Linked DNA regions of Schizosaccharomyces pombe. The protein of the gene in region 1 interacts with the protein of each later gene in a pairwise test. Each region holds a gene or a part of one and is shown on either strand. Other genes may lie near its edges. The genes, in order: ctr1, brr2 and ntr2.

What was found.
Region 2: the proteins of ctr1 (region 1) and brr2 interact in a two-hybrid assay, tested with the Schizosaccharomyces pombe proteins (one study listed by BioGRID).
Region 3: the proteins of ctr1 (region 1) and ntr2 interact in a two-hybrid assay, tested with the Schizosaccharomyces pombe proteins (one study listed by BioGRID).

The regions. Positions count from the first base shown.
Region 1 is NC_003424.3:1,897,495-1,906,511, forward strand, and holds ctr1 (protein ctr1), read left to right. Parts: upstream 1-4,581; 5' UTR 4,582-4,824; coding exon 4,825-5,712; 3' UTR 5,713-6,347; downstream 6,348-9,017. Other genes in the region: gar2 (nucleolin), read left to right, coding at 29-1,531; arb1 (argonaute inhibitor protein 1), read left to right, coding at 2,558-2,671, 2,713-2,795, 2,835-2,852, 2,892-3,143, 3,205-3,937; SPOM_SPAC110.06 (uncharacterized protein), read right to left, coding at 8,234-8,326.
Region 2 is NC_003424.3:1,457,094-1,469,846, reverse strand, and holds brr2 (U5 snRNP complex subunit Brr2), read left to right. Parts: upstream 1-4,567; 5' UTR 4,568-4,587; coding exon 4,588-11,118; 3' UTR 11,119-11,402; downstream 11,403-12,753. Other genes in the region: Tf2-1 (retrotransposable element/transposon Tf2-type), read right to left, coding at 1-4,000; SPOM_SPAC9.02C (polyamine N-acetyltransferase), read left to right, coding at 12,110-12,208, 12,306-12,704. UniProt on the Schizosaccharomyces pombe protein: Involved in pre-mRNA splicing. May be involved in endoplasmic reticulum-associated protein degradation (ERAD) and required for growth at low and high temperatures. Required for pre-spliceosome formation, which is the first step of pre-mRNA splicing.
Region 3 is NC_003424.3:3,564,328-3,573,474, reverse strand, and holds ntr2 (spliceosome complex disassembly protein Ntr2), read left to right. Parts: upstream 1-3,929; 5' UTR 3,930-3,935; coding exon 3,936-4,032; exon of another isoform or gene 4,033-4,106; coding exon 4,107-4,183; exon of another isoform or gene 4,184-4,248; coding exon 4,249-4,334; exon of another isoform or gene 4,335-4,382; coding exon 4,383-5,208; 3' UTR 5,209-5,493; downstream 5,494-9,147. Other genes in the region: RNA-binding protein Csx1, read left to right, coding at 1,130-3,028; SPOM_SPAC17A2.07C (uncharacterized protein), read left to right, coding at 5,617-5,734, 5,837-6,252; WD repeat-containing protein Vps8, read left to right, coding at 6,646-9,147.

The DNA.
Region 1 (9,017 bases):
CGGGCTTTTGGTATAGGTTGTGAATATAATGGCAAAAAAGGATAAAACCTCCGTTAAGAAATCAGTGAAGGAGACTGCATCAAAGAAGGGTGCCATTGAGAAACCTTCCAAGTCCAAGAAGATTACTAAGGAGGCTGCTAAAGAGATTGCAAAGCAAAGCTCTAAAACCGATGTCTCCCCTAAAAAATCTAAAAAGGAGGCTAAGCGTGCTTCTAGTCCCGAACCTTCAAAGAAATCAGTAAAAAAGCAAAAGAAATCTAAGAAGAAGGAAGAAAGCTCCTCAGAATCCGAGTCTGAATCTAGCTCATCAGAATCCGAGTCTTCCTCTTCAGAATCCGAATCTAGTTCTTCAGAGTCCGAATCATCTTCATCTGAATCCTCTTCGTCTGAGTCTGAAGAAGAAGTGATTGTGAAAACTGAAGAGAAGAAGGAGAGTTCCAGCGAATCATCTTCCTCCTCTGAGTCTGAAGAGGAAGAAGAGGCTGTTGTAAAAATTGAAGAAAAGAAGGAGAGCTCTAGTGACTCTTCTTCCGAGTCTTCCTCATCTGAATCTGAATCCGAATCTTCCTCATCTGAATCTGAGGAAGAAGAAGAGGTGGTCGAGAAGACTGAAGAGAAGAAAGAAGGCTCCAGCGAGTCTTCTTCTGACTCCGAATCCTCGTCAGATTCCTCCTCAGAATCTGGAGACAGCGACTCTTCCTCTGATTCTGAATCCGAATCCAGCTCTGAAGACGAGAAGAAACGTAAAGCCGAGCCTGCTTCTGAAGAAAGACCTGCTAAGATTACCAAGCCTTCTCAAGATTCTAACGAGACTTGCACTGTTTTCGTCGGTCGTCTTTCTTGGAACGTAGATGATCAGTGGTTAGGGCAGGAATTTGAAGAGTACGGTACAATTGTTGGTGCACGTGTTATTATGGATGGCCAAAGCGGTCGCTCAAAGGGTTACGGCTACGTTGATTTTGAGACCCCTGAGGCTGCTAAGGCTGCTGTTGCCGCTAATGGTACCAAGGAAATTGATGGTCGTATGGTCAACTTAGATCTCTCTAATCCTCGCCCAGCCAACCCTCAACCATATGCTCAACAACGTGCGGGTAATTTTGGAGACCAATTATCTGAACCTAGTGATACCGTATTTGTTGGAAATTTGTCTTTTAACGCAACTGAAGATGATCTCAGTACGGCTTTTGGCGGTTGCGGTGACATTCAATCCATTCGTTTGCCCACAGATCCTCAGTCAGGACGTCTTAAGGGTTTCGGTTATGTTACTTTCTCTGATATTGACTCTGCCAAGAAATGTGTGGAAATGAACGGTCATTTTATTGCTGGTCGCCCATGTCGTTTGGACTTTTCAACTCCTCGTACTGGTGGAGGTAGCCGTGGTGGTCGCGGTGGATTTGGCGGTCGTGGTGGATTCGGTGGCCGTGGTGGATTTGGTGGCGGACGTGGTCGCGGTAGAGGTGGTGCTCGCTCTGGAAACCCCAACCGTGGCTCGGTTGCTCCATTTTCTGGGAACAAAGTCACTTTTGACTAAGTATACTGGCTTTTAACTATATTGAGTTCATTTTTATGGGTTAAATGTAAATACCTTAGCAAATTAATATATGAGTTTGGGTTTTTGGGAAACTTTTTGGCATAAAGGGTTTTAATAAATGTTGGGCTGTGGATTTGATTTAATTGGGTTGAAGTATTCAAATACAAATGACTTGTTTGGGTTTGTTATGGAATGAATTTGGGTTTGGTTTGGTTTTATTGACTTTATAAAGATAATAAATATGGGCCCGTTGGTTTTACAATTTCAAAGCAGTGATGGTTGGCGTTGTTCTACGGTTTAGTTCATGTATTCACCTTTCCTTTATACGTTCCATAGAAGCTTTTGACATAGCTTTAGATAGGTTTTAATATAAAATAGAATCTTATTTAGTTTTGTTCTTGTTCATCTAATCAATCCATGTTACTCACAATCATCGTTGATCACTTTCTAATAGCTAGTAAATGAAGACCGTTTTGTGTTCCTTTTTGGGCTTTTCCATACGGCACTTTAAATTAATGATTTTTTGTTGAACTTTGATTGTGGTCTTACCCGTAATCATAAATGAAGAATGTAGTCGAGCCATTGTCATATTGTCTTATATCTTCAACTTGTAATGTCTCGTCTATTAAATTAGGTAAGCATCAATAGAAGGTATCATTGATTCTACATTACAAATACGCTTCTATTTCAACTTTTAAATTAATACAAGCATGTTTACTTACACTTTGGTTGCGATTATTTTAAGCAAATTAAAAAAAAATATTTTTGTATATCAAATTATAATATAGCTAAATTCAATTGTAACAGTAGTGATGAGTTCTGGCATATTCAAAAAACGGTTGTAGAATAATATATCCAGCGTTACTAAATCCGGCAAAGGAACTGTCTACTTAACTCTATGAACAAAGCTTCTAATACAACACTGTAAATTTGGTTCCTTAGATTCCCCTTACCACACTGATAAACTAGTAAATCAACTATACGACTAGTGTACTGACTTTCCAGTCCAGATGAAGTGATTGAGTGATGGCAGAAGGTGATTTTAAAAATGACAGTACAGGTTGTATTGGCGATAGCGTGGAATTTACTACTTTTAAAAAACGTACAGGAAAAAGTCTCGGTAATAGAAGAAAAAAGAGGGTATTTCTTAAGCTTTAGAAAACCCGTCTAATAAATATTAGGGATTGTCTGGATGGGAGCCTTATTTTCAAGAACCCGAACTGACAGCTGAAGAGAAATTGGAAAATGAGACATTATACAGCAGGTGAGAATACAAAATATTGTGTCTTACTAACACTTCTAGGAACATACCATTGACTGTGTTAGTAAACAGATGTTAAGGACTTTGCTGACAAATTAGGCGAATGGAGCGATTTATTCAAAGATATCGATCACGCAGAAAATGGAGCGACCCTACAAGAATAAGACTGTTTACAATGTATCTAGATTTAGGAGGCGTTTCTACGGGCCAAAAACAGTTTACAGGGGGTACTGATATTAATAACGATGCGAAGGCACGAGAAGTTTCCGCTCAAACCACGACTGATTATATTGAATACGATATACTTGATGAATATGATATTGATTTTAAGTGGGTTGCTGGAGTATTTCTGTGAGTCATTTATGTTTCCATTGAATTTAATTCACGTTGTATTTTAGCTAATCAATTTAAGGTCGTCACACATTTTGTATAACGCTGGACTAACTAAGGAAGAGGATTTGCAAATAGCTTGTCAAATTGTTAGAAATTTTCTGCTAAGTGTTTTGCATAACAATGTTGCACCAGAATTCGAAGATAATATTCGTGACGCATGTTTATTAGCAGAGCAAGCAGAAACTGAATTAATTTCTAATAAGAGGCTATCAACTAAACTTCCCGGTAGATTGCAGCGGGCATTGGCTAGTATACATGTTGACAATTATAAAGGCTTATGGGACAAATCGCAAAGTGATAGGACAAGTGATAGTTCAGTCAATTTCATTGAATCCAATAATACCAAATTCATGCCAAATGATGAACTATTTGAGCCTGATGGAATTAGTAGATTTTCTACACAGCAAGCGCGCGACTACATCCAGAGAACTCTTGGTCCACGATATTTGACTGGGAAAGTCGTTGAACAAGAGTACTTAACAGTCAAGTTAGTTTCTAAAACGCTATTGAATTTTTCAAACCAATCTTTATGCAAAGCAGTGTTTATCGTTTGGGATCCACCCGGATCTAAATATTCTCAAGATACAAATAAGGAAAGACTAGAAGTAATTTTGGAATCTGATTTACTGAACAACACTGTTGATGGCACTCACTTAGAGGGATCGTTCACTTTTTTGGATAATGGACTGACTATATTAGACACTGTGCTTGCTGTGCTACCCACCTTTTATGAAGAAGTTAAAGATGAATAGCATTGTATTTTAATATAGTTACTTTTGTAATATAGCTGGATATGAAATCCTTTAATTAGTTGCTTCTTCTTATTGTGATGAGGATAAAGTTCTAACATATATTAATGACCCGTTGGTGAGTTCGTACTTCCCCCAATTGCATAAACAATAAGTATAAGAAATTATAATTCCCAATCACATAATAGATATTACTTGTGTATGTAATTTAATGTTTTCAAATATTTTTATACAAATACGTCAAACTATGCGACAATATTTTGAAAGCTAGATCGTGCAGAAGTCGCTTCTGAGTCAGTATTGAGCAATAAGAATTATTCGGATGATTTTTTCAATAATCTTAAGTTACTGTCAGGCTCAATGCAATAAACACGATCAAAAGAACATTTAAAGCTATAATGTGTATTCACTTTTAATTGTAAACACAAACGATTAAAAAATTTACGTGTATAAGTATTTTTCCTCTATGAAGGCTAAAACGTTATGTGGAAAAGAATAGTCAATCATCAATAACGTTCATAACTTGTACTATTGAACAAGTCGTGCTGGGTAAAGATAGAAATCAAGTAACTGGATTGGAAGTTGTGATTAGCATAGCGAAACGCAGCGCCTATGGCGAAATAACCCAGGTGAGGAAAAGACACCTTACAACTCCAAAACGACGAAAATAAATTGGTAATTGTTTTACTGGGTTAAGTGTATTGTAGAAGCATAATTGAATTGAAGAAAGTAATTGCTGTTCTTTTGGACCTGTTATTTTTGTACAGGAGTAAGCAAACTACGGCTTTCTGCAATAACTTGAATGTTTTGATATATTTACACATTCTCAATAATTTAAAAGAATTGAAAATAATTATTAAATTAATTAAAAAAATTGAAGTATCGAGTAGATGAATGTTGGAAAGAAATCCGAAATTCAAGTCTCAGCTAAAAGCAATCTTAACTTCCTTAATGAACTAATTGAGGAAAAAAAGCGATACGAGGACGAGAAGCGCAAGATTAGCCATCAAAAGTATACCGATAAATTATTGGAAGCCAATGATAACGAGACGACCAAAAGGAAATTACTGGTAAAACAAAAAAGAAAATCCAACAAGGAATTTCAAAGTAATATTATCAAAAAAAGAAAGGACGAGGAAAGAAAAGGAACTTTAAAAACTGAACAAGCTAATGAGGAAGAGCTGTTGCAAAGAAGTCGTCTGGAACTGGAACGAAAAGCTAAAAAATACGACCAGTATGCTGCCGGAGAACTGGAAATAAAGGAGACAGAAGATGATGGAATCCTTGTCGACTTCACACGCAAATGGGCTGAGGAAGCACCCGAAAATGAAACAGTTGAAATAACGGATGAATTTGGGCGAACCAGGAGTGTCTCTATTTACGAGACCGGTAATACCCTACTTTCACAAAAGGAGGAGTACAAGCCCGAAAAGCCAATATACGGTGACTATATGCCATCCTTCGAAGTAGACGAAGAAAAGGTTCAAAAATTGTGGAAGGAAGATGAGCAGCAAGCAGTTCATTATGACTCGACTAAGGAAGTAAGGAATAAAGGTACGGCATTTTACCAGTTTTCTTTTGACGAAAAAGAAAGAGAAGAGCAACTTCTATCTTTAAAGGAGATTCATGCTAAGGTTACACAACAGCAGAGAAAAAACACAGAAGATGTGTTAACCTTACGAGACAAAAAACTTGAAGAACGGCGGAAATTTCTTGAGCGAGACTATGCAATAAAGTTGGGGGAGAGATGGATGTCTGAACATTTTTCTAATAATTGAGGTAGAAACTAATGAAATGAAAACGTAATGATAACGACTCATAAACAAAAGCTTCTTAGCGAAAACAGAGAAATGTAATAGTACTGTAGGAAAAAAGGAACACGAAATCACCAAAAACAGCAGTAGTTTTCTTCTTTTTTGTTTTATTTTAACGAATTATTTATTTCTGATTATTGAATTCACAATCAGTATGAATGTGAAATATTAAATTATGTATTTTGGAGAACCATTTTTTTGTTGCGTATTTATAAAATTAATAAGGGAGAAAGGATAGGGAAAAAAGCACAAAACATATTAGCAAGAGTATACAAGCAAGTGAAAAATAATAACCAGTTGGATGGTCAGCTTTACTTAAGCATTCTTTTATAAATTTTTTAATTGGCGGCAGAAAAAGGAAAAAAAATAAACTGGACGGCCAAATATATCAAAGCAAAGAAACGTTCTGAGGATATTAAGAGGAGAAAACAACTTATATGTTTTAAAAACAAAAAACAGAAGGACAATCTATTAAAAAAAGAATCAAAACTCGAAAGCCAGCTAAGACTGTAACGGAATTAAGAGGACTTTGGGTGAACGGCTTTTGAAGGCTTTTGGATGCAACCGCCTCCAATTTCATAAAGTCGGTACAAAGCAAGGTATCCGCATACCACAATGTCCAAGACAATAGCACTCAACGTTGGCAAAATCAGAAGAAACGCAATGGTGAATGCGGAAATAACCACAAATTTGATAAGGAAAGACAAAATTTCTTCAAGCAACATAACTAAGTATATATACAAAACTAAAAGATACGTTTTGAAATGCGGAAAATGATAATTAGGAAACAGAGGAATATGACTCAGACTTTCAAAACAGCAGTTATAACCGACCGTGTACGTTTGTAAAAACAATTGAGAATATTATTAAAGTTACTATTCTCGTTTTTAATATTGGATCACTAGAAGATATTGATTTGTATGGGTTGTAATTTGAATTTCAGTAAATCAATGGCGGTAGATAATAAGGTAAAACTGAATTCCGCTGTCGAATTCAGGGCAATCTCAGCATTCCCGAGCGGTGCTTTACGAAGTGTAGTGGTGTGCGTTATTTTGCTGAAAATTGTAAACACATAAAAAACCAAACTTCAGCAAGAAGAATAAAAAAAACGGAACTGATTGGTTGTTTATCGAAATTTTTGCTAGTTGAAATACAAAATTTTTGTTTAAATATTAGTGCGAAAGAATAAGGTCTGCAAAAAAGAAAAAATGGTCTGTTTATTAGAAAAATAAGCGAAAGTTGTTTAATGTTTATACCTTTCAGTGCGCTTTTTCCATTAGTATAACTTATTTTTCGTTTTCAACCCTCTTCTATCGTTTTGAAATTTTTTTTATATTAATCGTACCATCATCATTCTCTACTCGTTTCTTGATGTTTTCGGCAATGACATACATTTGATTATACAGCCAAACCCAGTGAAATTGTGTTGGAGTGCAAAATGTATTACGACACGATATACTATGCAATTTTTTTTACCAACCGCGTATAACGCATACGGCGTAATAAGCCGTTACCATATCGTTATTTAAAAGTTTTAATTAGAAAACAGCGTAATATAACGGATATGCACAAAATGCGTTAGCATTGAAAGCTAATGAGGTCTTGTGTCTCCACACTCGAAATTGCGGGGCTTGACTAAATTCAAGAACAACAAAGAGAAATGCCTGCTACATAAGGGATTTTGCCTGTGAAATGTGCGCAGCAGATAAATGTAGATCACGGAAAAAATTTAAAGTAGCACTTGGATAGTATGATGCGTTTACAAGGAAGTTGCTCAAACAGCAGAATGTCTGGCTGTAAACAGGAAAATGTCGCAGGGGGCGAAGTGATAAAACTCAGGGTTTCATGAAGTAAAAAGTTTTGAAATTTTTTACTAAGGTCCAGAGTTGGCTGTTTTTGTAAATTTTTAATCAAGTTTGCATGATTGCTAAGTAAAAGTTGAATGTCCTAATTTGCTCGTCCGAATGTGCTCTTTTTTTTTTTTCAGCGCACTCGTTAGACAGATAAAGTGAATGTTTTGCTAGGCCATTTTCTCGTTCTATTTTGCCTCGATTGAAACGTGGTATGTTTGCAGCTAAAAGGTATGTACAGTTAAGCCCAGTGGAGACAAAGATGAAAAGGAAGTAAAGCGAACTATGAAGCGAAACTATAAAGCAAAAACAGCTAGGTCGGGGAAAATTTCTACAAGAATTGCTTAAGTTCTAAAAATTTAAGTGTTTACTTTTAGCAAGAATAAATGTGTTTTCCTTTATTTTATTTTGTATTTTTTTTTTCTTTTTTTTTGGGGGGGGGGTAGATGGGGTGCAGCGACTCTTTTAGCAAAAGCTGCGTCCACCCATAAGTGCGAAAAGACCACGTCTGTCTTTATTTGGCGTTGTCGCTATTGATTTGAATATTGGCAATAACTATAACGCTTATGCCAAAGAGAAACAAGTCGGTATAAAAACAGGTTGATATTTTAAAGCGCGATTTATTAATGTAGTTGTTAAATAATGCAGTATGGTACAGGAAAGGAATAGAGAGCAAGGTAAAGAAAAGAAGTGATGAAGGAGGGAGGTAAGAAAAAAAGAAATCTCATATTGATTTTTTTTAAAGGTATTAAAGAGTATATTTAGAATGTTTGGATAAAATATATATCTCATGCGTCCATATTCCTTCAGTCATTCATTCCTTCATTTATATACCTCTACATCTCTTTTTTTCTTTCTTTTCTTTTTTGTTTTCTTCATTTTCATTTTCATTTTTCTCTTTCTTTCCTTACCTTTTTTTTATTCTTTTGATTAGTTCCTTTGTTTGTTTACATGCGCTTGCATCTTACTTTGTCCCTCTCCTACCCCTCCAATCTCATAGTACAACTACTTACTCTCTATGCTCTCTCTCACATCCTTTGTATGCTTACACTCTCTCCCCGTCGCCCCTACGTATTACCTGCAACCTAGTTATCAAATTATCCTTCCATTACCCGGAGCTTCTACATCATCCGTTGTCAACACATTGGCCAGATCCCGCTCTCTCCTCCTAATTCGTTTCTAAAATCGTCCACATCGTCTATCTATGATAACATCGGTCTCCAAGCATTAGGGGCCTTATCTTAGATAAAATAGCAATCACTCGTCCTTTTATCAGGAGCGTGGTAGCCGAGGCCTTTTCTTGGCCAATGAAAAGTCATCATCAGTCATAGACTATGAAAAGGAATGCTACCACCCTTATCATTGGTGGTTGTTTTTGATACTGTTTAAGCGAGGTTATTTATTATTACGTAGGTGCAT
Region 2 (12,753 bases), 440 kb from region 1:
AGATATTTAGATTATTGTTTTTAATATAATCATTGACAATTGCTTTGTCCGCTTGTAGCGCTGTAGCTAATGTAGTCCATCCTGACATAATAGTACTCGGATTTAGATTCGAAATGTACTTGACATTTAAGTAGAGTACTTGTTCTCTGTTTTTATGTTCTAGGATATGAAGAATTGTTCCAATATCAGACTCATCAATGGTAGCGTAATTGAGTTCTGAATTATGTCGATACTTTTCTAGGTGAGAAACATGAAAAGTAGATGAAAACATGTGCTTGATTGAATCTGGAAGATCCAATTCATAGTTGTTTGGACCCGACTTCTGTAACACATAGAACGGTCCTGCAAAACTAGGTGCTAATTTATTGGATTTATGAAGAAAACCTGTTTTCGTTCTTTTGACCATAACTAGGTCTCCAGGTTGAAATTCTTCAATTTCTTGTATTTTCATATCGAAATACTTTTTCATCTTTATGTTGTTTGTATTCAAGTGTTCTTTAACTGTTTGAAATACTTGGATCGTTTCCTGAGAGTTTTCGTCAGTTTTGTCACTAAAGCTAGGTAACTCTAAAGGTGATAAAGCTGGTGAATAGCGATGTACTATCTCAAAAGGTGTCATTTGAGTTGCTGAATGTATCGCATTGTTGTAAGATTGTTGCACTAGGGATATATGATCTACCCATGTATTTGGATGTGTGCTACATACACATCTTAGTAATTTCTCCACAGTTTGGTTTGTACGCTCAGTTTGTCCATCAGTTTGTGGTCTGTATGGTAACGAAAATTTCATAACGAAATTATATTTATGTGCGAAATCTTTCCACGTTTGGGAAGTAAAAATATGATCATTATCTGCAATGATTTCTTTTGGATTGCCGAAATAAGCAATAACTCGTTGATCAAACATTCGAGCTGTTTGCTCTGCTGTAATGGATTTCGTACAAGGTACTAAGATTGCCATTTTTGAAAATCGGTCAACTACCACGAAAAGTGCATTATAACCAGATGATTCTGGTAAAGCTGTAATAAAATCCATTGATAAAGATTCCCAAGGTCTTTCTGATGGGGGAATTGGTTGTAAAGGTCCATAAGGTTTATGATTCCTAGATTTGTTTATTTGACATGTATGGCAGTTCTGTACATATTCTTGTATTTGTTTTCTTATTCCTTTCCACGTAAATCTACGTAATATAATGTTTGTAAGAAGTTCAATGCCTGGATGAATCAATTTACCTTCTTCATGATACTTTTTAATAATTGTCCTAGTCAGCTGAGTATCATTAGGTAATAAGATTTGGTCTTTACTGTTAATTAGTAAGCCATCTTTGAGTTGGATATTCTCTTCCACTCGTTTGTCTTCATTGTTTAGTAAATTCAACAATTTTGTATCATTCGTATATTCTGTAACCACTTGGTTTTTAAAATCATCGGTTATCGAGATTTGATTAACAAAGTTGATACTATTGTCTTCTGAATCTTTTGGAATTGGTTCTGTTTCGTCAACAATTCTGGATAAGGCATCAGCTATGTGATTTGCTGATCCAGGTCTGTAGTTAATTTCAAAGTTGAAGTCTTGTAAAAATAATTGCCAACGAGCTAAACGTTTGTTTTCAGGCTCGGATTCGTTAGTAATGCGACCAATTAAGTTTCGATGGTCTGTTAAAATTTTGAAAGGTTCGATAGTGGATTCTAAATAGTGTCTCCAATGTTTGAGAGACTTAATGATTGCAAGCATTTCTTTGTCCGATACGCTATAATTTAATTGTGCTTTAGACATCTTTGCTGAATAGTATCCAACAGGATAGTATTTATCATCATCATGTTTTTGAGACAATACGGCTCCTACAGCGACATCTGAAGCATCAGTTTCCAGTAGAATCTTTTTACTGAAATCAAAGTGTCGTAGCACCGGAGGAGAAACTAAACATTGTTTAATGTTTTCTATCGCTTGGGTTTGTGTTGGTGTCCATTTCCAGCGTACATCCTTTTTCAAAAGATTATTGAGTGGATGTGTTAATTGTGATGTCTTTGGAATGAATTTCCTAAGATAATTGACAGAACCTAGAAATTGTCGTAATTCTTTACGATTCTTAGGTTGCTTCCATTGTAAGACTTTGTCTATATTTTCTTGACAAGGCGTAAATCCTTTTTCCGAAATGTGATACCCTATAAATTTTACTTGTGATTGGTGAAATTCACATTTTGCTTGATTGATAATTAAGTTCGCATTTTTCAATTTCTGTAGAACGTCTTTAACATGTTTTACATGTTCAGATTCCGATTTTGAATGAATTAAAATATCATCCATATAACATACTACATGTGATTCTTTGGCTTCACCAAGTATTGTATTGATAAAGTATTGAAAATGTGCTGGAGCTGTAGATATGCCATAAGGCATTACTAGATATTCAAAAACTCCACGAGGACAGCGAAAAGCAAGTTTATGTTCATCTCCTTTTCTTACTCGTATCAAGTGATAGGCACTTTTGAGGTCAAGTTTAGTAAAAATTGTAGAACCTTGTATTTTAGCAAGTAATTGTTCAATAAGTGGTAACGGATATATATTGGGTTTGACATACTTATTTAAAGGTTTGTAGTCAACCACCATTCTCAAGGTGCCTTCCTTTTTCGGAACGAACATTACTGGACAGGCGTTAATGGCTTTAGATTCTCGTATAATTCCACTTTTTAATCCTTGATTAATTTCATCATTCATAGCTTGCATTTTTCCCGGTGGTAGCGGGTAATTTCTGATAGGTAATCTGTAGTTTTCTTGAGTTAGTTCAACTTCAAATTCTAACCCTTTTATTGGCTTTGGTAGCTTTTCCGTATTGGTTTCTGCAGTAATGTCTTTGAATTCTTTATAGATATCTGGTAACTCAGGTTCCTTGACAATATTTGAAACTTTGTTCATTTGAGAGAGCGTGTGTTTACTGCTAGATATTTCAATGTTATTGTCATATAATGTTGTGAAGGAGATAGCAGCTGGATGCGAAAATTTCTTTACAACCAAGAATTCTGTTTTGATTGATATTCCATTTAGACTTATGTTAAGTTTTATTGTTTTGCGATTAATCTTATTTGGATAAACTCCACCATATATCACACTTTTTGACCAGGGTCTGGTAGGCAGTTTATGTGCTCGAACAGTTTCTTCTGTTATAATATTTGCTTGAGCGCCCGTATCGATTAGACAGGGTATTGAGCACTTGAAGTCTGGAAGTTCAGCTTGTAATACCATTTCGTAACGTTTCCTAGTATGATTTAGGAATTTGTTAGATGAGTATTCTATTCTCGAAACATTTGTCTTCCTCAGGTTTCTGCTATTAGTGGTGTTATTTTTCTTTGAAAGGGACTCTTTTCCTAGATTTTTATTTTGCAGTTGAAAACGCTTGTGAGTTTTACCATACGAGGCTGTTCTTTTGTCCTCTAAAAAGTCATAAATTTCACTGATTTCTGATTTCCAGTAATTTCTTTCCTTTAATTTCCTTAAGGAATATGGCAGCATCCATAATATAAACAAGCGAGTATGGAAATCATCAACATTTGCTTTTGACATGAGTTTCCTTATAAATTGAACTTTGTCCAATTGATTTCTAAAACCTTCAAATGTTTTAGTTAAACGATCACCTTTGTTGGATCCTTGTACTTTCCCTGTTTGTCTGAGTAATTCTTGCCATGTAAGACTTCCATTCTCAGAAAACATGCGTTCAGCGAATTGTTGCTCTAATTCTTCTAGGTGATTCAATGTATACTGTCTTTTAGTATGCTCATTTGGGAATAATGAAGGGTATTCAGTAAAGTGTTGATCAAGTTTTGAAATGTAACTTTCAACATCCTTATTAGGATCGAATTTCCCTATCTCTGGTACATGCTTCGATAATATTTTTGCAAAAAGGTTTATTAAATGTTCGTCTGATGTTTGAATTCCATCCAAATTCTCTGGTCTCCATCGTTTTGCTCTTGCTTTCATATAACGATAATTTGCGTAGGACATTGTATATGTTTCCCTTTGGGAGATTTCAAAAGGGATAACAGTCCTTCCAAAGTTCTTTCTCCTTTGAACCCAGAAGGAGAGAAATATATATATTTATGATATATATTTATTCAATAATTCCTTTTTCCTAAAAGGAGTTAATTGTAGATCACAAGAGTTCAGTTATTGTAAGCTACGCAGTTTGGTATCTGATTTAAGGATACGTAGAACTGCGGTGAGCTTTCCTTGTGATCTATTATATTACAATACACAGGTTGTATAAGTAGCAACTGAGTATAGGTATTGTATTAACTGGGTTATAATGTTACCTATCACTAATATAGCTCATAACTGAACTGAGGAACGAGGTTCAGCAGTAGCTCTATTTATAGTATTCAGATAATATTGATCTTAATAGATTATCATTAAGATCAATCTCCATATCGTATCATACATGGTACGATATATAATTAGAACATGTGACATATAGTGATACTCAACGTAGTGTATTATAGCGTAGTGTAGTATTGCTGACAGAAATGAACACTTCTAATACCTCGAAGTAGACGAAAATTGAAAATTCAGTTTATCCTCCGCCACTCACAATCATGTCGAGTGCACATCCTAAAGGGGACTCGAAAGAGCCTCCCAAACATGGAAATAGTAAGGAGAAGCCAAACTATGGTCAATCACAGTATAGTTATTCTGCAATGTCAAATTTGGTTACGCAGGCTGATCGAAGATTTGTGTCACGACGTGATGCTGAACCTACAGGCGAACCGGAATCTCTGGTAAATCGAGTTAGTATTGCAGATATGGGTTCTAGAGCGAGAATTGAAAAACCTAGTACCCTTCCTCTCGAATTGACGCAGGAAGTTCAGGAGGTCCGGTTACCTCGTAAAGATGCAGAATCCTTAGAAATTGGTATACGGCAACCTGAACGCGAAAAGCGCTCTTCAGCGATACTTAAATATTTTGATTCTTTTGAAATTTTGAAATATAATCCTCTAACCGACGAGACCCGAGAAGTTTATGATTATATCTTGAGTTTCATTCAACAATACCTTGGCGATCAGTCTCCTGAAATCCTCCGTTCTGCTGCTGATTTGATTATTGAACTTCTTAAGGATAGTTCTTTAGATGAACAAGGTCGTAAAAAGCAAATAGAGGAGGTTTTGAGTACTGAACTCCCACAGGATCGGTTTTCACAGCTCGTTAACTTGGGAAATCGCTTAACAGATTATACAGTTGAGCAAGAAGAAGAGTTAAATGAAGAAGGCGTTAATGAATCTGGCGTACCAGTATTGTTCAATGAAGCCGATGAAGAGGAAGAAGCTGTTGAGGCAATGGAAGAGGATGAAGTGGCAGAAGATGAAGACGTCGTCTTAGAAACTTCCATATCTCAAGAAGAAGAGAAAAAGAATATTGAAAATCCGGATACAGAGGTTACATTTATTTCTGCTGATACCAAAAAAGTTACCGAAATACCCACTGTTCATCCTCGTGAAATCGATGCATTTTGGCTGCAACGAGAAATAGCAAAATATTTTGCTGACGCCGTCGTTTGTCAGGAAAAAACAAATCAAGCGTTTGAGGCACTTTCGGCTGATTACGATCTCGGTGAATTGGAAAATGAATTGATGAGTATTTTTGATTATGAACATTTCTATCTTGTTCAACTTTTGACTAAGAATCGTTGGACAATAGTTTCGTGTACAATGTTAAAACGCGCCGCTACTGATGAAGAACGCTTAGGTGTGGAAGAGCAAATTCGTGCTGCTGGTCGGTCTTGGATTCTCGAAGCTCTACGCCCTGGTGCTATCACTATACCTGATGACGGTTTAAATGAATTAAATAATAATGTTGTTGAGAAAGCTGAACCTGCGCCCGTTTCTGAAATTCCACTTTCGAAAACTTTGACTTCCCATAAAATTGTACCTAAGCACCAAGTTGATCTAGAAAATTATGTGTTTACTGAGGGATCACGTCTCATGTCTAATAAAGCTGTCAAGCTACCTGAAGGCTCGTTTCGTAGGACTGGTAAAGGGTATGAAGAAATACATGTTCCTGCCCCCAACAAAGCCGTACTTGGCGCTGACGAGCGTCTTGTAAAAATCAAGGAACTGCCTGAATGGTCTCATCAAGCTTTTCTTAATACTCAATCTTTAAACCGAATCCAAAGCCATCTTTATCCTATCGCTTTTGGTACTGACGAAAACATCCTTTTATGCGCTCCTACTGGTGCTGGAAAAACAAATGTAGCAATGCTATGTATCCTTAACGAATTACAAAAACATTTACGTGAAGATCTTAGCTTTAACTTACAAAATTTTAAAATTGTTTACATTGCTCCCTTGAAGGCGTTGGTACAAGAGATGGTTAATAATTTCTCAAAGAGGCTTACTCCATACAATATTCGAGTCGCAGAGTTAACTGGTGATAGTCAATTGACTAAACAACAAATTAGTGAAACTCAAATAATTGTAACCACACCCGAGAAGTGGGATATTATAACTCGAAAAGCTAATGATTTATCTTATGTCAATCTAGTCCGTTTAGTTATTATTGATGAGGTTCATTTGCTTCATGATGAACGAGGTCCTGTATTAGAATCTATAGTTGCTCGTATATTTCGCCATCAGGAGGAAACTCTTGAACAAGTTCGATTAGTAGGTTTGTCTGCTACACTTCCTAATTATACCGATGTTGCCAGTTTTTTACATGTCGACCCTAAAAAAGGGCTTTTTTACTTCGATTCGACATATCGTCCATGCCCTTTAAAGCAAGAATTTATAGGCATTACAGAAAAAACACCGTTTAAACGAATGCAGACGACTAATGAAGCTTGTTATGAAAAAGTTATGCAACACGCTGGCAAAAACCAGGTCCTCATATTTGTACATTCGCGCAAAGAAACCGCTAAAACCGCTCGTTTTATAAGAGATAAGGCACTAGAGGAAGAGACCATCGGTCATTTGTTACGCTCTGATGCCGCATCCCGTGAAATTCTTCGGGCTGAAGCCGACTCTACCAGTGATGAAAATTTGAAAGATTTGCTCCCATATGGGTTTGCCATACATCATGCTGGTATGCGACGAGAGGATCGCCAAACGTCTGAAGACCTTTTTGCCGATGGTACTATACAGGTACTAGTGAGTACGGCAACTCTGGCTTGGGGCGTAAACTTACCAGCGCACACAGTGATCATCAAAGGGACCCAAGTTTATTCTCCTGAAAAGGGTATCTGGACAGAACTCTCTCCTCAGGATGTTTTGCAAATGCTTGGCAGAGCTGGTCGCCCACAATTCGACACATATGGTGAAGGAATTATCATTACCGCCCACTCTGAGTTACAGTATTATCTATCACTAATGAATCAGCAGCTTCCAATTGAGTCTCAATTTATGCGCCGTCTAGCTGATTGTTTAAATGCCGAAGTATCGTTAGGAACTGTTCGTAGTATCGAAGATGGCGTAGACTGGCTTGGTTATACATACCTCTATGTTCGAATGTTACGATCCCCTGCCCTATATAGCGTCGGCCCAGAGTATGATGATGACAAATATCTTGTTCAAAAAAGAGCTGACTTACTTCATTCAGCTGCCATTTTATTAGAAAAATGCAAGTTACTAGTGTATAATCGTCAGAGTGGTACGTTGACCGCTACGGAATTGGGAAAAGTTGCTGCAAGTTATTACGTTACTCATAACTCGATGGCCATATATAATCGTCTTTTAATGCAGACAACATCCTTTATCGAGTTATTTCGAGTCTTCAGTTTTTCTGATGAATTTAAGCACATTCCTGTCCGTGAAGAAGAGAAAGTTGAACTCGCGAAGTTGCTGGAAAGAGTACCAATTCCTATTAGGGAAAGATTAGATGAACCTGCTGCCAAGATTAATGCCCTTCTCCAATCATATATATCAAGACAACGCCTGGATGGATTTGCACTTGTGGCAGACATGGTATACGTTACGCAATCAGCGGGTAGAATTATGCGTGCAATATTCGAGATATCATTGAGACGTGGTTGGTCATCTGTTGCAACACTCTCTCTTGATACATGCAAAATGATTGAGAAAAGGCTTTGGCCAACTATGAGCCCCCTTCGACAGTTTCCCAATTGTCCTTCTGAAGTAATACGCCGCGTTGAGAAAAAGGAATTTCCTTGGCAGCGATACTTTGATCTGGACCCTGCTGAATTAGGAGAATTAGTAGGGGTGCCAAAAGAAGGGAGGCGTGTGTACAACATGGTTCAGTCTTTTCCAAGGTTGAGCGTCGAAGCACATGTTCAACCTATCACAAGATCGCTTGTGCGGGTCGAACTTGTTATAAATTCTCAGTTCAACTGGGATGATCATTTAAGCGGCACTTCTGAAGCTTTTTGGATCCTTGTAGAAGACGTGGACGGGGACCGATTGCTACATTATGAACAATTTTTCCTTCTTAAAAAATACAAAGATGATGAGCATATTGTAAATTTTACAGTACCTTTGTTAGAACCTCTTCCTCCTTGTTACTTTATAAAGATAGTTTCAGATCGATGGTTACACTCGATAACTAAGGTACCTCTTTCATTTCAGCGCCTGATAATGCCAGAAAAATTTCCTGCGCCAACACCTCTTCTTGATCTTCAGAACGCCCCGGTCTCTAGTCTTAATAACCCAAGCTTCATTTCCCTCTACCCTAATTTTAAATTTTTTAACAAGATTCAAACACAGGTGTTTAACTCTGTTTATAAAACCAACGATAGTGTTTTTATTGGTGCTCCCAATGGAAGTGGAAAGACTGTTTGTGCCGAACTTGCTTTGTTACATCATTGGAGTCAAGAAGATTATGGTACTGCAGTTTACATTGCCCCAATTCAGGAAATCGTTGATCGTCGATATGAAGAATGGTATGGCAAGTTTTCTGACCTCGGTGATGGGAAAGTTTTGGTAAAATTGACGGGTGAGCGTTCACAAGACTTGAAGCTGATACAAGTTGCTGACTTGATATTTTGCACGCCATCGCAATGGGACTCATTGTCGAAGAGATGGAGAAGTATGCGAAGCATTCAGAAAGTTGATTTTTATATATGTGATGAATTACAATTGCTTGGTGGATTTTATGGTCCATTATACGAAATAGTGATCTCACGGATACGGTACATGGCAGTACAATTAGAAAAAAATATCCGAGTGGTTGGCCTTTCAGTATCTGTTGCTAATGCTCGAGATTTGGGTGAGTGGCTTGGGACTAGTCCACAATGCATATTTAATTTTAGTCCTAAAGACAGGCCTAATCCTCTTACTATTCATTTGCAATCATTCAGTATTACTCATTTCCCTTCCCTTATGTTGGCTATGAGCAAGCCTATATATCGCAGCTTGAAGAACTTTATTTCTCAGAGAAAGTCTACTATTGTATTTACTCCTGACAGGAAAGTAGCGAAACAATTAGCTTTTGATTTAGTTACATTCAGTATGGCTGATGAAGATGAGTATTTGTTTTCGTTAATGGAGAATGAAGCTTTCAATAAAGTTGAAGATGCTGCCTTGCAGCAATCATTGAAGCATGGTATTGCTTATATTAGTGAAATCACATCGTCCAATGATCAGAATATTGTACAATATCTTTACCGTCATGGACTTATCAAGGTTTTGATAGCTTCTCGCGATGTTATTTATTCCTTAAAAGCAAAATCAAACGCTGTTATTGTGATGGGTACTCAATACTATGATGGCAAAGAACATCGTTATATTGATTATCCTATAAGTGAGTTATTACAAATGCTCGGGTTTACTGCTAGCATTGGATCAAGTGAGCTTAGCCAGGTTATTCTTATGACTGTCACTACTAAGAAGGAATATTACAAGAAATTTTTAAATGAGCCATTACCCATGGAAAGCCATCTTCAAGTTTGGCTGCACGATGCTTTCGTGTCAGAAATATCTACGCAAACCATTGAAAGCAAACAAGATGCTGTAGATTGGCTTACATGGTCGTATATGTACCGGAGACTAGTTGCCAATCCTGCCTATTATGGTCTTCAAGATATCACTCATGAGTCGGTTTCTGAATTCCTTTCGGATCTTGTAGAAACAACCATGAATGATTTGAGTGAGGCACGCTTAATCACTGTAGACGATGAGGATGATAGTTGTGTCGCATTAAATTTAGCAATGATAGCTTCTCATTACGGAATTACATACATTACTATGCAAACGTTTGCTTTGAGCTTGTCAGAGCGCACGAAGATGAAGGGATTACTAGAAATTGTTACATCAGCAGCAGAATATGAGCAACTCCCAATTCGAAAGTATGAAGATATTGTGCTGGAGCGAATTCATTCCCGCCTGCCTGTTCGCTTAAGTAATCCTAACTATGAAGATCCTCATACGAAATCATTTATTCTTCTTGCAGCTCATTTTTCTAGATTTGAATTGCCTCCTGGTTTAGTTATAGATCAGAAATTCATTTTGACTAGGGTACATAATCTTCTGGGCGCTTGTGTTGATACATTGTCTTCCGAAGGCCATTTAATAGCTTGTATTAGACCAATGGAGATGTCGCAAATGGTTACGCAAGCTTTATGGGATCGTGATAGTCCTTTAAAACAGATACCCTATTTCGACGACGCTTTAATCGAACGATGCAATAAAGAGGGTGTTCATGATGTCTTTGATATTATCGATTTGGATGACGAAAAACGTACTGAATTGTTACATATGGATAATGCACATCTTGCCAAATGCGCAGAGTTTATCAATAAATATCCGGATATTGACATTGATTTTGAAATAGAAGACTCTGAAGATGTTCACGCTAATTCACCCTCTGTGCTTATTGTTCAACTAACTCGAGAACTGGAAGAGGATGAAGAAGTTGATACGACTGTCATTGCTCCTTACTTTCCAGCTCAAAAAACTGAACATTGGTGGCTTGTAATTTCGGATGACAAAACCCTCTTGGCAATTAAGAAGATTACCTTAGGTAGGTCCTTGACTACCAAGATGGAATTTGTGCCCCCGGCAATGGGAACTTTAAAATATAAACTGAGCTGCTTTAGCGATTCTTATATGGGTGTGGATTATGAAAAAGAATTTGAATGCAACGTTTTGGAACCTTTGGACACAGAAATGGAAGACGGGGAATAAGGTATTGTGCAAAATATGGATAATTCCCAAATTAAAAATTTTGACTTGAGGGTCAAAAGAACTGTTAAATAATTATTTTTTGAATTCATTGTATATTTATTTGCTAATTAATGGATGGTTTGATTCTTTAGCTTTTCTTTTTCAGCAAATTTATTGATGCCATCAGCGTGTGCAAATTCTTAACAACCAAACATGCATTACTAGGTATGCAATGATTTCATATGAATACATGAACATATGTATATATTTATAATTAATGAAGTCAAATTTTGATTTTCAAATAATGCGAAGATAGATTTTCATGTTCACTTAGGAGAATTGTTTCAGTGATGCTATTGAAAGGAGAGGTGTAGCGAGACCTGTGGTAATGTAGATAGTTAAAGTAATTTTCAAATGTTTTAACCTGAAATTCAAAAAATATGCAACGTTTATTACCCAAGACTGAAGAAGCGAAGAGTTAGATGTTAAACTACTACAATACGCTGATAAAAATCAAGCAACACGAGTTCTTATCCTGCGCTTCTATTAAAAATATTAAATATCGTATTTACTACACTTATATACATATTGATATCATTTTGTTTTTGTTCATAAACCACCCAATGTAGATTCAACAATTATCGCTAGATATATATATATATTTATAAGCGAACAGAAGCTATAAAATTATTAAGAGAATACAATGATTAGTTATTCTGTGCACATAAATGTGGAACCACTAGCACTAAAGTGTTGAGATTTACAAGGAGGACTACTGAAGTGCGAAGTAACACCGTTTATATCGTCAAAATATAATGTTGAATTTACTATATTTAATCTTACCTAGCCAGTACTTACTAATTATAAGGGAAAAACTCGACGTGAATTGTTTGCTTGCTTATTCGCGATTACTAGATTTAGAAGAGAATTTTCCCCCTTCAAATTGCAGAACAGTTTAAGAGGTCGTTTTCTGAACGCGCGTATTTGATTGCTTATTTACCAAGAAAGTGTAATGGTCAACATTCGTAATATCGAGAGATCCGAAGTTGAAGAGGTTTCAAAATTGGAAGCCATTTGCTTTCCTGAAGCAGAGAGGGCTTCTTTTGCTAGGGTAAGTGGATTCTGAGACATTCTCATTGTTAGTTATCTTGTCAATGATTTGTCTACGCTTGTTTTTCGAATAGCCAGATTAACTAAACGCTCAATAGATTAAGGATCGGGTAAAACGTGCTCCGGAGATTCAGTTAGGACTTTTTGCTCCTACTCAACATACCAGTACTTTAATTGGACATGTCTTGACTTCTAGAACAGGTAGCGAAACTGTTACACACGAATCCATGTCTAAACATGATTCGAAAGGAGAAAACATTGCTATTCATTCACTATCTATTCATCCTGCTCATCGTAAAAACGGATATGCTAAGAAGCTCATTGAAGAGCTTCAATTCCGTTGTCAGCACACCATTACTCCCAAGCCCAGTCGGATGATTTTAATATCTCATAAGCCTTTGGTCCCCTTTTATGAAAGCTTAGGGTTTAAAAATTTGGGTCCCAGTGAATGCAAGTTTGGGGATGAAACTTGGTATGACATGACCCACAAAATATAAGACGTTATGTTATGCAACACCTGGGTTCCGTTTACTTTTTGACTCGTAT
Region 3 (9,147 bases), 1.7 Mb from region 1:
TTAGCTATATCACTAGCGAAAAAAAGGACTACTCGATATCAAAAGGATTCGTTTGTTCTTTATATATTATAACATACATATACTGCACAGTATATATATATAAACCTATAATATACGGACACCTCTTTTTCCTGCATTGTATATATATTATATTTATATAATATATAATATAATATAATATATATATATATATTTGTCATTGTTGCTGTTGTTCTTTAACTTCATCAAAGAAAACACTTCTGTCCCCCCTGTCAGGTTCCTTCGTTTTTTATTGCACATATATATATATTTTTATTTTATTTTATTTTCTTTTCTTCTTCTCTTTCTGTGATTGATTAACTCGACTCGATTTTCTTTTTTCCTTTTCTTTATTTTCTCTCTTCCAACCTTTGGTTTCTTTTTCTTTTTTTTATTCTTCATACCTAATAATTTTCAGAAGAGACCTTGTTCATCGTTGTTTCCTTTTTCTTTCGTACATTGTATTACTTGTTTTATTATTTTTAAAATAAAAACTGAAGAACCCTGCTTCATCACAACCATCAGGTTTTCTTTTTCGTGTACCCATTCAGTGATTTTAACGAATTTTTCTTTCACGCCTCATTAAGGATTGTATTTTCGCTTTTTGTCTCATCAACAATCGAATAACTTTGTTTCTGTGTTTTTTTTTTATATTTTCACTTCAACAAGCTTTTTACCGCGAAACCATCTCATTTATTAATTTCCTTTTATTTCAGATCGATTTTGATTTTTATTCTTCCAATCCTCTTTAATACTCGATCTTTGTAACACTTTGTTTTAGTACTTCTTTTATTCCTGAATCTTTTTTTTTTTGCTCTTACCGTTACACTTTACGCAAGCAAAAAAAATTTCTCTTTTTTTTTTTATTAAATTGTTCTTGATTGTTCTATTAGCATTTCTTCATCTCAAGAGTTCTTAGACCTCTCGCTTTTTCGTCCTTGATTTATTTGTCTGTACGTTATAAGCTAAGCTTTATTTTGTTCATCGTTGAAAGATTCTACCACCCATTGTCTTATACTGGTTACGTTTTTTGACTTTTGTGTCTCATTGAAACTTTGTTGTTCATTCATATTACTTACTTTCTTTTACTTTTTTTTGGATATCTATTTAAATGTCTATTGACTGCCTTTATCGCCGTTCTTCATTGTTTGATACTTCCTTCGTCCCTTTGCATTCGTCTATTCCAGCAACCTCGAAAATGTCAGCTTCTAATTCAGATGTCAATGCCCCCATTTCCCCTGTGGTTGATGAGGGCAAATCAGAGTTAGTTTCTCCTACTTTGGAGAGACTTGTGGCTCCTTTCAACTGTTCTCCTAGCTCCACTCCACTTCAAGATGTAGCAGGTGTTGGCTCGAAAATGAGCGACACCTTATGGATGGGTGACCTGGAACCTTGGATGGACGCTACTTTTATTCAACAGCTCTGGGCTTCCCTCAACGAACCTGTCAACGTTAAAGTCATGCGCTCCAAAGCATCCTCTTCGGAAACGCTTATCAGCTATTGCTTCGTTCAGTTTTCCTCTTCTGCAGCTGCTGAGCGTGCTTTGATGAAGTATAATAACACCATGATTCCTGGTGCTCACTGTACCTTCAAGCTTAACTGGGCTACTGGTGGCGGCATTCAACATAACAACTTTGTTTCCCGTGATCCTGAGTTTAGTATCTTCGTTGGCGACCTTCTTCCCACTACCGAGGATTCGGATCTTTTTATGACTTTCCGTTCCATATATCCCTCATGTACCTCAGCCAAGATCATTGTCGATCCCGTTACCGGTCTCAGCAGGAAATATGGCTTTGTTCGCTTTTCAAGTGAGAAAGAACAACAACATGCCTTGATGCATATGCAGGGCTATTTGTGTCAAGGTCGCCCCTTACGCATCTCTGTCGCTTCACCAAAGTCTAGAGCCTCCATCGCCGCCGATTCTGCCCTTGGTATCGTTCCTACTTCTACTTCTAACCGCCAGCCTAATCAAGATCTTTGTAGCATGGATCCTTTGAACACTACGGTGTTTGTCGGTGGCTTGGCTAGCAATTTATCCGAGAAAGATTTGCAAGTTTGCTTTCAGCCCTTTGGAAGAATTTTGAACATCAAGATTCCCTTTGGCAAGGGATGTGGCTTTGTCCAGTACAGTGAAAAATCTGCTGCTGAAAAGGCCATAAACACTATGCAGGGTGCCTTAGTTGGTACTTCTCATATCCGCCTCGCGTGGGGTCATAATACGCTTCCTGTATCTGCCTTGTCTCAATCTCAATCCCAAGTTTCAGATGAGGGCTTCGACAGAACTCTTTCCGCTAACCAAATTTTCGGTATGAATCAATCTGTCATTGGAGCAAACTCTGGCAGCTCAAACTCATCCGGCTCTAGCTTGAAGAGTGCACCTGTTTCACCTCGTACTGCTGCTGCGCAATCTTTGTTGCCAAACTCCGTTGTTTCCTCAATCAATGGCATGAACTCCGTAAATTTTTCAACCATTTCTCCACCTCCTTTGTCTCGTTCAGCCTCCATTTCTCCTACGTTGTCCGGTAGTGGCTCAGGTTTGACACCTCTTTCTTCCCATTTCCCTTCAGCTGCCACTGGCTTGGTAGGCGGACAGGTGTATCCTCAGTCTTCTGTTTTGCAATCCTCAAAAATTAATGGTTCTGCAAAGGTCCAGCCTAGTGTGAAGCTCCCCGAATGGTTGCAGCCTTTTTCCGGCAACAATCATAACTCCTTTGCTACTCAAGATTTATTAACACGTGTTTCCTCCTTAAAGTTGGTTGATGATGAGCAACCTGCTTCTTTGAATGGTTCAGCATTTCAAGCGAGAGCTTCTAGGCCTTGGAACCTAGGAAGGGAGCGTCAGTCTTCACTAATTGATCTCCGTCATGAGTTGGAGCAAAATGAAAACGGTTTGGAGAAATCCGGCTTTGGTTTGAACTTGAGAGGTCGCTTGCCTCCTCGTTCTTATTCTACATTTAATTGTACTGGTCAATACTTGCAACCTTCTCTACGCTTGTCACGCGATTCATAAATTATTTTTATGATGTTTGAAATGCATTACTACTACTACTATTTGTTTCTTCCACTTCTCTTCTTAAGTGAAGGGATTTCCCGAATATTCTTGTTTTATTTCTAATGTTTTTGTTTTAATTTTTTATTTATTTTCGTTTTTCAAAGGCATCCGTATAAGTTTTCGAGGGCTCCTGATCAAGTTAGTTTAATGTCTTAAAGAACTGAAGGGTGCTCTCGTGATTTTTTTTATTTTGTTTTGTTTTTATTCTTGTATGTTAAATCTCTCTTGTGATGTTTTTTATAACTGTTGAATATTATTTGTGCCAAGGATTGTTTTATTTATGATTGTTTTATTTTTCTTTCATTGCTGTTGTTCCTTAATGCACATATGTACATGAAAACTTCCATTGAGGTTTTTCAAACGTCCAAATCTTTTTTTTGGATCGATGAGTTATTTATATGTTTTATTTTAAAATGTCCTTTCCAAAAAATAATTTTGTTATTTTTTCTTCTGATTTTCTAAATAATTAAAAGCATTGTTTTTGTTTTCAACTTATATAATGGAAATTTTCCAGTGACTGTAGTAGATATTGGTAGCTTGTCGATTGTAGCTTTTCAATTAAAAGTTTTAAATCTGAAACTTGAATTTCAAACACATTTCTCTAAAATTAGTCGAAAAAAATGTAAGTCAATTGAACAAATACTTTTCTGATGCTTTGCATTATCCGATGCACCTCTTCAGTATGTGCCATAATATTAAATGCCCAAGTAAAGACATTTATGTTTATCCCTTTCTAATTTTCACAGAACATAAAAACATCATTTTAATTAAGACTTTATATGATTTTTTTTTTACAAAAATAGCTATTCAATATGAAAGATTGGTAGAAATATGTTTGCCTAGAAAGTAGCACCCATTTACCAACATGCGACGATACTTAAAAAAGGCGAAGCCTAAAATCGTGCAAACGAGCGACAATGAGGAAGAAAAGCATGAAGAAAATTTAAACGTTTCTCAATCAAGTAAGAACTTAAAAGCGCAAAAGTGCTTGGGCTCGAATAGAACTTATTATCGCAAGTGTACTAACAATGCTTAGACAAAAATGCAAATAGAAGAAAAACAAAAGCGAAAGAAAAAAATTCGGGAAAATTTAGGGTGAAATATGAGAACGAGGTAAGTTGTTTTTTGCTGGAAAACGTTTTACCAATTCATCTGTTATATTAACAAACATTGATTAGGAAGGAGACGACGATGGGGAGGATTCTCAAATCCCTTTGATTCCAAAGGTAAAAAAGCAAAGCTCTTTTCATTCGGTTGATGATTTGTAAGTAAAATGTTTTAAGTCCAAGTATTAGTTATCTAATTAATAAAGAATATCGCGAAGAATGGATGCTCTCTCGCATGAAAGTGGATACTCCAATGCTTATGTGGATGAGTTAAAGAGAAAAAGTAGGCAGACACCATCAGAATTTACAAAGAAGGAGGAGGATTCCTCGACCAAAGAAAGCGAATTGCAAACAAGATCGTCACCTCCTTTACCCGTTAATACTAGTTTGGAATGGAATATGCTTAATCAAGGCATTCCTGAGGAAGCAATGATTAAGGAGTTAAAGGATCGAGAAGGAAGAAAGAGAAACATTGCCATGATGACGGATAATTACATTTCACTTGAAACAGGGGACCAACTGATGTTGGCACAAAATCATAAAGAAGAGAAATTGCTTCAAACGGAAGACGAAATTCAAGATGAAGGTTACTCTGGATTTGAAAATTACGTGGAGGAGTCAGAAAAACTTCAAGAAATATACCACCATAGCTCGGAAAGTTTACGGACACGATCAATTCAAATGGCCGTCGACCAGAAAAATATGGAGATGGAATTGGACGATGAAGACATAGCAGAGCCCATCCAATCATGGGAACATACTCAAATCAAGAAAGGTGCCTTTGGAGAATCTCCTGCTTTTACAAATGGACTTTCTGTGAAGCTTCCTAATATTCTTACAATGGATGAACAAATTCAGCGGCTAAAAGAAGCAATAGCTTCTGAGAAGCTTCAGCAGGAGGAGCGTTCACAGATTATTAAATCACTTATGGAAGAAGAACTCGAGATTAATGAACAAGAGGAAAAGATTAAACATTCTTTCATTGATTTAGATAAAACTTTGTTGAACAACCTTACCAAAAGCAAATCCTGATTTACTTTGGATTTTTTAATTGATAAAAAAAAAACAAAGAAGAAAGACATGGTCGATAAATTTACTTAACGCTATAACTTAGATTTACATTTCTTACAGAACTCTTATCCTTGTACAGTATTAATTAGCTGTTACAGCCCATCGGTGACTTGTTGAAATAGAAAAACAGTGCCAAGAAGTCACCGGGAATTACAAAAAAATAATGACCCGATATTTATGGAGATAATAGATATTAATTGCTAGAAGATTTCATTAGCTTTATCACATATTAAAGTTATAGCCTCTGAGTATTCAAAACTTTAGTAAGTAGCATTGTCACTTACAATGGATTTTGTGTGTTGAAGAGAATACATTTTACCTACTGCCAAAAAGTGGGTTTACAATAAGACTTGTCATTTTATCGTCTCAATGGCTCTGAAAAGAAGCTATTATGCGTCAAAAGATGATTATTCGACGAAAAGAATCCTCGAAATTATCGAAAGGCCATTGAAGAAGCTTACAATAGAGGATACTTCAGAATATGATGGTATGTATACTATCGATTAACCTTTTGAATAAATTTAAAAGGGAAAGCGAATTCTCTTACAATATCCTTTATTCCATGTCAATATATTAACAGTCGGTGCAGATTCTGATATTGAAATGCCAACCTGCAAGCGTGTAGCTTACTACAAAAATGAGTACACAATTGTTGTAGAAGACTTGGATGCTGAACTGGAAGAAGATGACAGCATAAATAAGCCTACAGAAGAGGCTGACGAAGCTCCACGGACACAACTTTCTGTGATCTCTCCTTTGGAAAAGAAATTGAAACGGGATTTTCTATTTTTGCTCTTGAATTCGAATCGGCAGCCAGGAAAATCATCTGGCAAGTCTTCAATTCCTTCTCCTGATGATTTTAAGCTATCGGTTAAGTACTCTTCTTCATCCGAAGATCTTGGTGCAGTCACCATCGAATCTCATCTTAATGTTTCCAGTGATGCTTCAATAAAGTATAAATCCAGCGGAACTAGTCAGTCTGATTTACTAATGGAAATTGGATGATTTATGCTCAATGACTGCATGCTGTTTTCATGATATATTATACAGTATTTGTTCACTTTGATTTTGAAAAATCGGAATTTTTTTGAATATGTTGACTGATAATTTAAAATAATTTTAAATATTCCTAACAACTCTGTTTTTCTCTACATTTTTCAAAGCACCTGTTTCTGTTGACACTCATTTAGTGCACATTAACGCTGAACGCTAAGGTTCTTGTCTTTTTCTATGACCTCTGTCAACCGTTACATTAGACAACGGATTCCCTAATGAATTGAGCTTTATCATTAGATACTTTTCTAGACAGTAGAAAATACTGTTTTTTGAGTAAATGCTGAAGAAGCTTTAACTCTTAACAATTGATTCCAATTCACATTCACATTGAGTCTCGCAATCATGCAATCCAAGTATGGTAGATCTTCCTTAAAAATAAAAAATGGTGATGATACTCGGACACTAAGAGCTCTTTCCTTTTCCAAGGACTCCGTTAATAGCTCGTCTTTTGACAATGAAGCCGCAAGCACCACCCTTGGAATTTCAACTGCTATCCATGCTTCCAATCGTCCTTTTAGGCAAGATGAATATTCATGGAATGATTGTTGGATGCGCTGGGGACAGTTACGCAGGGTTTCTTCCCAATTGAGAGAACTCAGATTTACCATGAATGATCAGCCTGCAACTGTCACGTCTATCGCTTATCAAGGTACGTTGTTAGTAGCTGGAACATCCTCTGGACACGTATTGTTGAATGATTGGCGAACGAATGACTTTCAAATCCTCAAGCCTGGTTTATCTTCTAATGAATCCGTTACTCTACCTGTCACTTCTTTAGCGATTTCGAATTCTAAAAGAATTGTATGCCAAGGACATGCTGGTGGCATTATTTTTGTTTGGGATGTTAGCCGAAAGCCTCCCCTACAGTTGTTTACAATTAATCAACATTCGGAAGATTCTGTGTTGACACACCTCGTATTTAATGGTAATTCTGATGATGTTTTACTTTCTACCGATCATCTCGGTAAAATTGCTGTTCACGAGTTTTACAATTTGGTTATTAATAAACATTGCACTTCCTGGAATCTAGATATGTCAAAATCAAATAGCTTAAATTTAGACTCTATTATTGTCGATACTTCCAGCATATCTTTTGAAGAACTTCACATTACAGGTGTGAAGCATTTTTCTTTCGTTGTACTCCAATCTTTACAATCGATTCAAATTGTGACTCTTTTTCCTAAAACTACTCTTATTTATGAATTCAAATATCCCGCCGGAATTGTTTCTTCTGCTTGTCACTCATTTTCCTCAAGTATAGTTCATAAAAACGGTGAGAATACCAAGCTGCATGCATTTTTTGCTACAGCATATAACAACAACCTTAGGTTGTATTCGGTTACTTTTCACAAGGGATACATGTCATTACAACTTATGGATAGAAAAAAATTTGCCAAAGCAATTTGGAAGCTCTGGTGGTTTCCTTCTAGTAGCATTATAATAATTTTATTCGATGATATGGAGTTAGCTTTTGTTAATAGCATGTCTTTGGACATCATTGGCACTTCTACCATATTGGATAAATCTCTTTTAAGGTGGGATTGGTATTCAAACTCATTAGCTGCAATTGGTGTTTCACAAACCGTTTTTCCCTTCATCTCCTCTAGTTTATGCATTTCACCTCGATATATGTTTGTTGTCAATTCTGAAACCGTCTCAGTTGGATCATTTTTAATGGTTTCTGAGCAATTACAAATGCTTTCAGAACGTTATGGATTTTTTGATTCAATTAAATTTGGGAGTTATTGTGTTTCAAATTTAAGTATTTTCCCCAAATTACTGTTGGAGAAAACTTCTGTGATTAATTTGATTATGGCTCTGTATGTTAAATTGCTGAAGTCATTGGCCCGTGATTTCCCTGCTAGATCTCCATTTGAAGCTACTAGCCAGAAAACGAATGATTATGAGCTAGAGGTTCAGCATCTCTTCACATGGACTTGTGAACTTTACTCAGAGAATTTTAATACTGTAATATCAAGTTTTATAATAGCTAATTCTTTGGGCATTTTACCAGAAATAATTGAGCAAATTATTCCTGTGTTTACCAGGGTCGGCAAAGTATATGTTGTATTGGAAGCTTTATTTGATTTAATTCTTAGTCAGAGATTTACCAATCCTTCTCCGCAATTACAGCATCATATCCTTAATTATTTAAACGATTGCAAGCGGCTACAAGATATGGATAAACTTATTCCTTGCATTGAATACCAATCCCTTGATTTAGATTTTATCACAAAGTTCTCTCGTTCCAAAGGGTTGTTTGATTCTCTTTGTTACGTATCAATTTATGCTTTTAACGATTATTCGATACCTTTGGTACAATTTTTAAACCTTTTGAAATCCGACATCGATTCGCCTTCTGAAGAGACTTCAATAAACGTGGAAAAAGGATTTCATTTTCTTTTATATTCATTGACTGGTATGAAATATCCGCTTGGACATTCCAACAATATCAATGATGCTTATGTAGTTATACATACTCTCCTAAAAGTTATATTTTCGGTAGTACCATTACCTTTTGATGTTCCGGTAGATAACTCGGTGGATTTTCCCTATCTACGCTTGTTTTTGGAAAAGCATGCCGATGATTTCTTTCGGTGTTTAGAAGTGGCATTTGACTATCCTTATTTCTCTCTAGAAAAAGTTACAATTGCTAAAAAATTGCTGGATACTGTAAATCGACAATGGATACTAGAATGTATATCTCAGTTATATGAGAAGAAAAAATCCGTTTCGCAGAGCTATTATATTTTCGTATCTCATGTCACCGCGAACTATTCGAATCAACTGTTATTCTCACAGTCTTTTTATCAAGGCATTTTGGATGGGCTTTGTAATATTGAT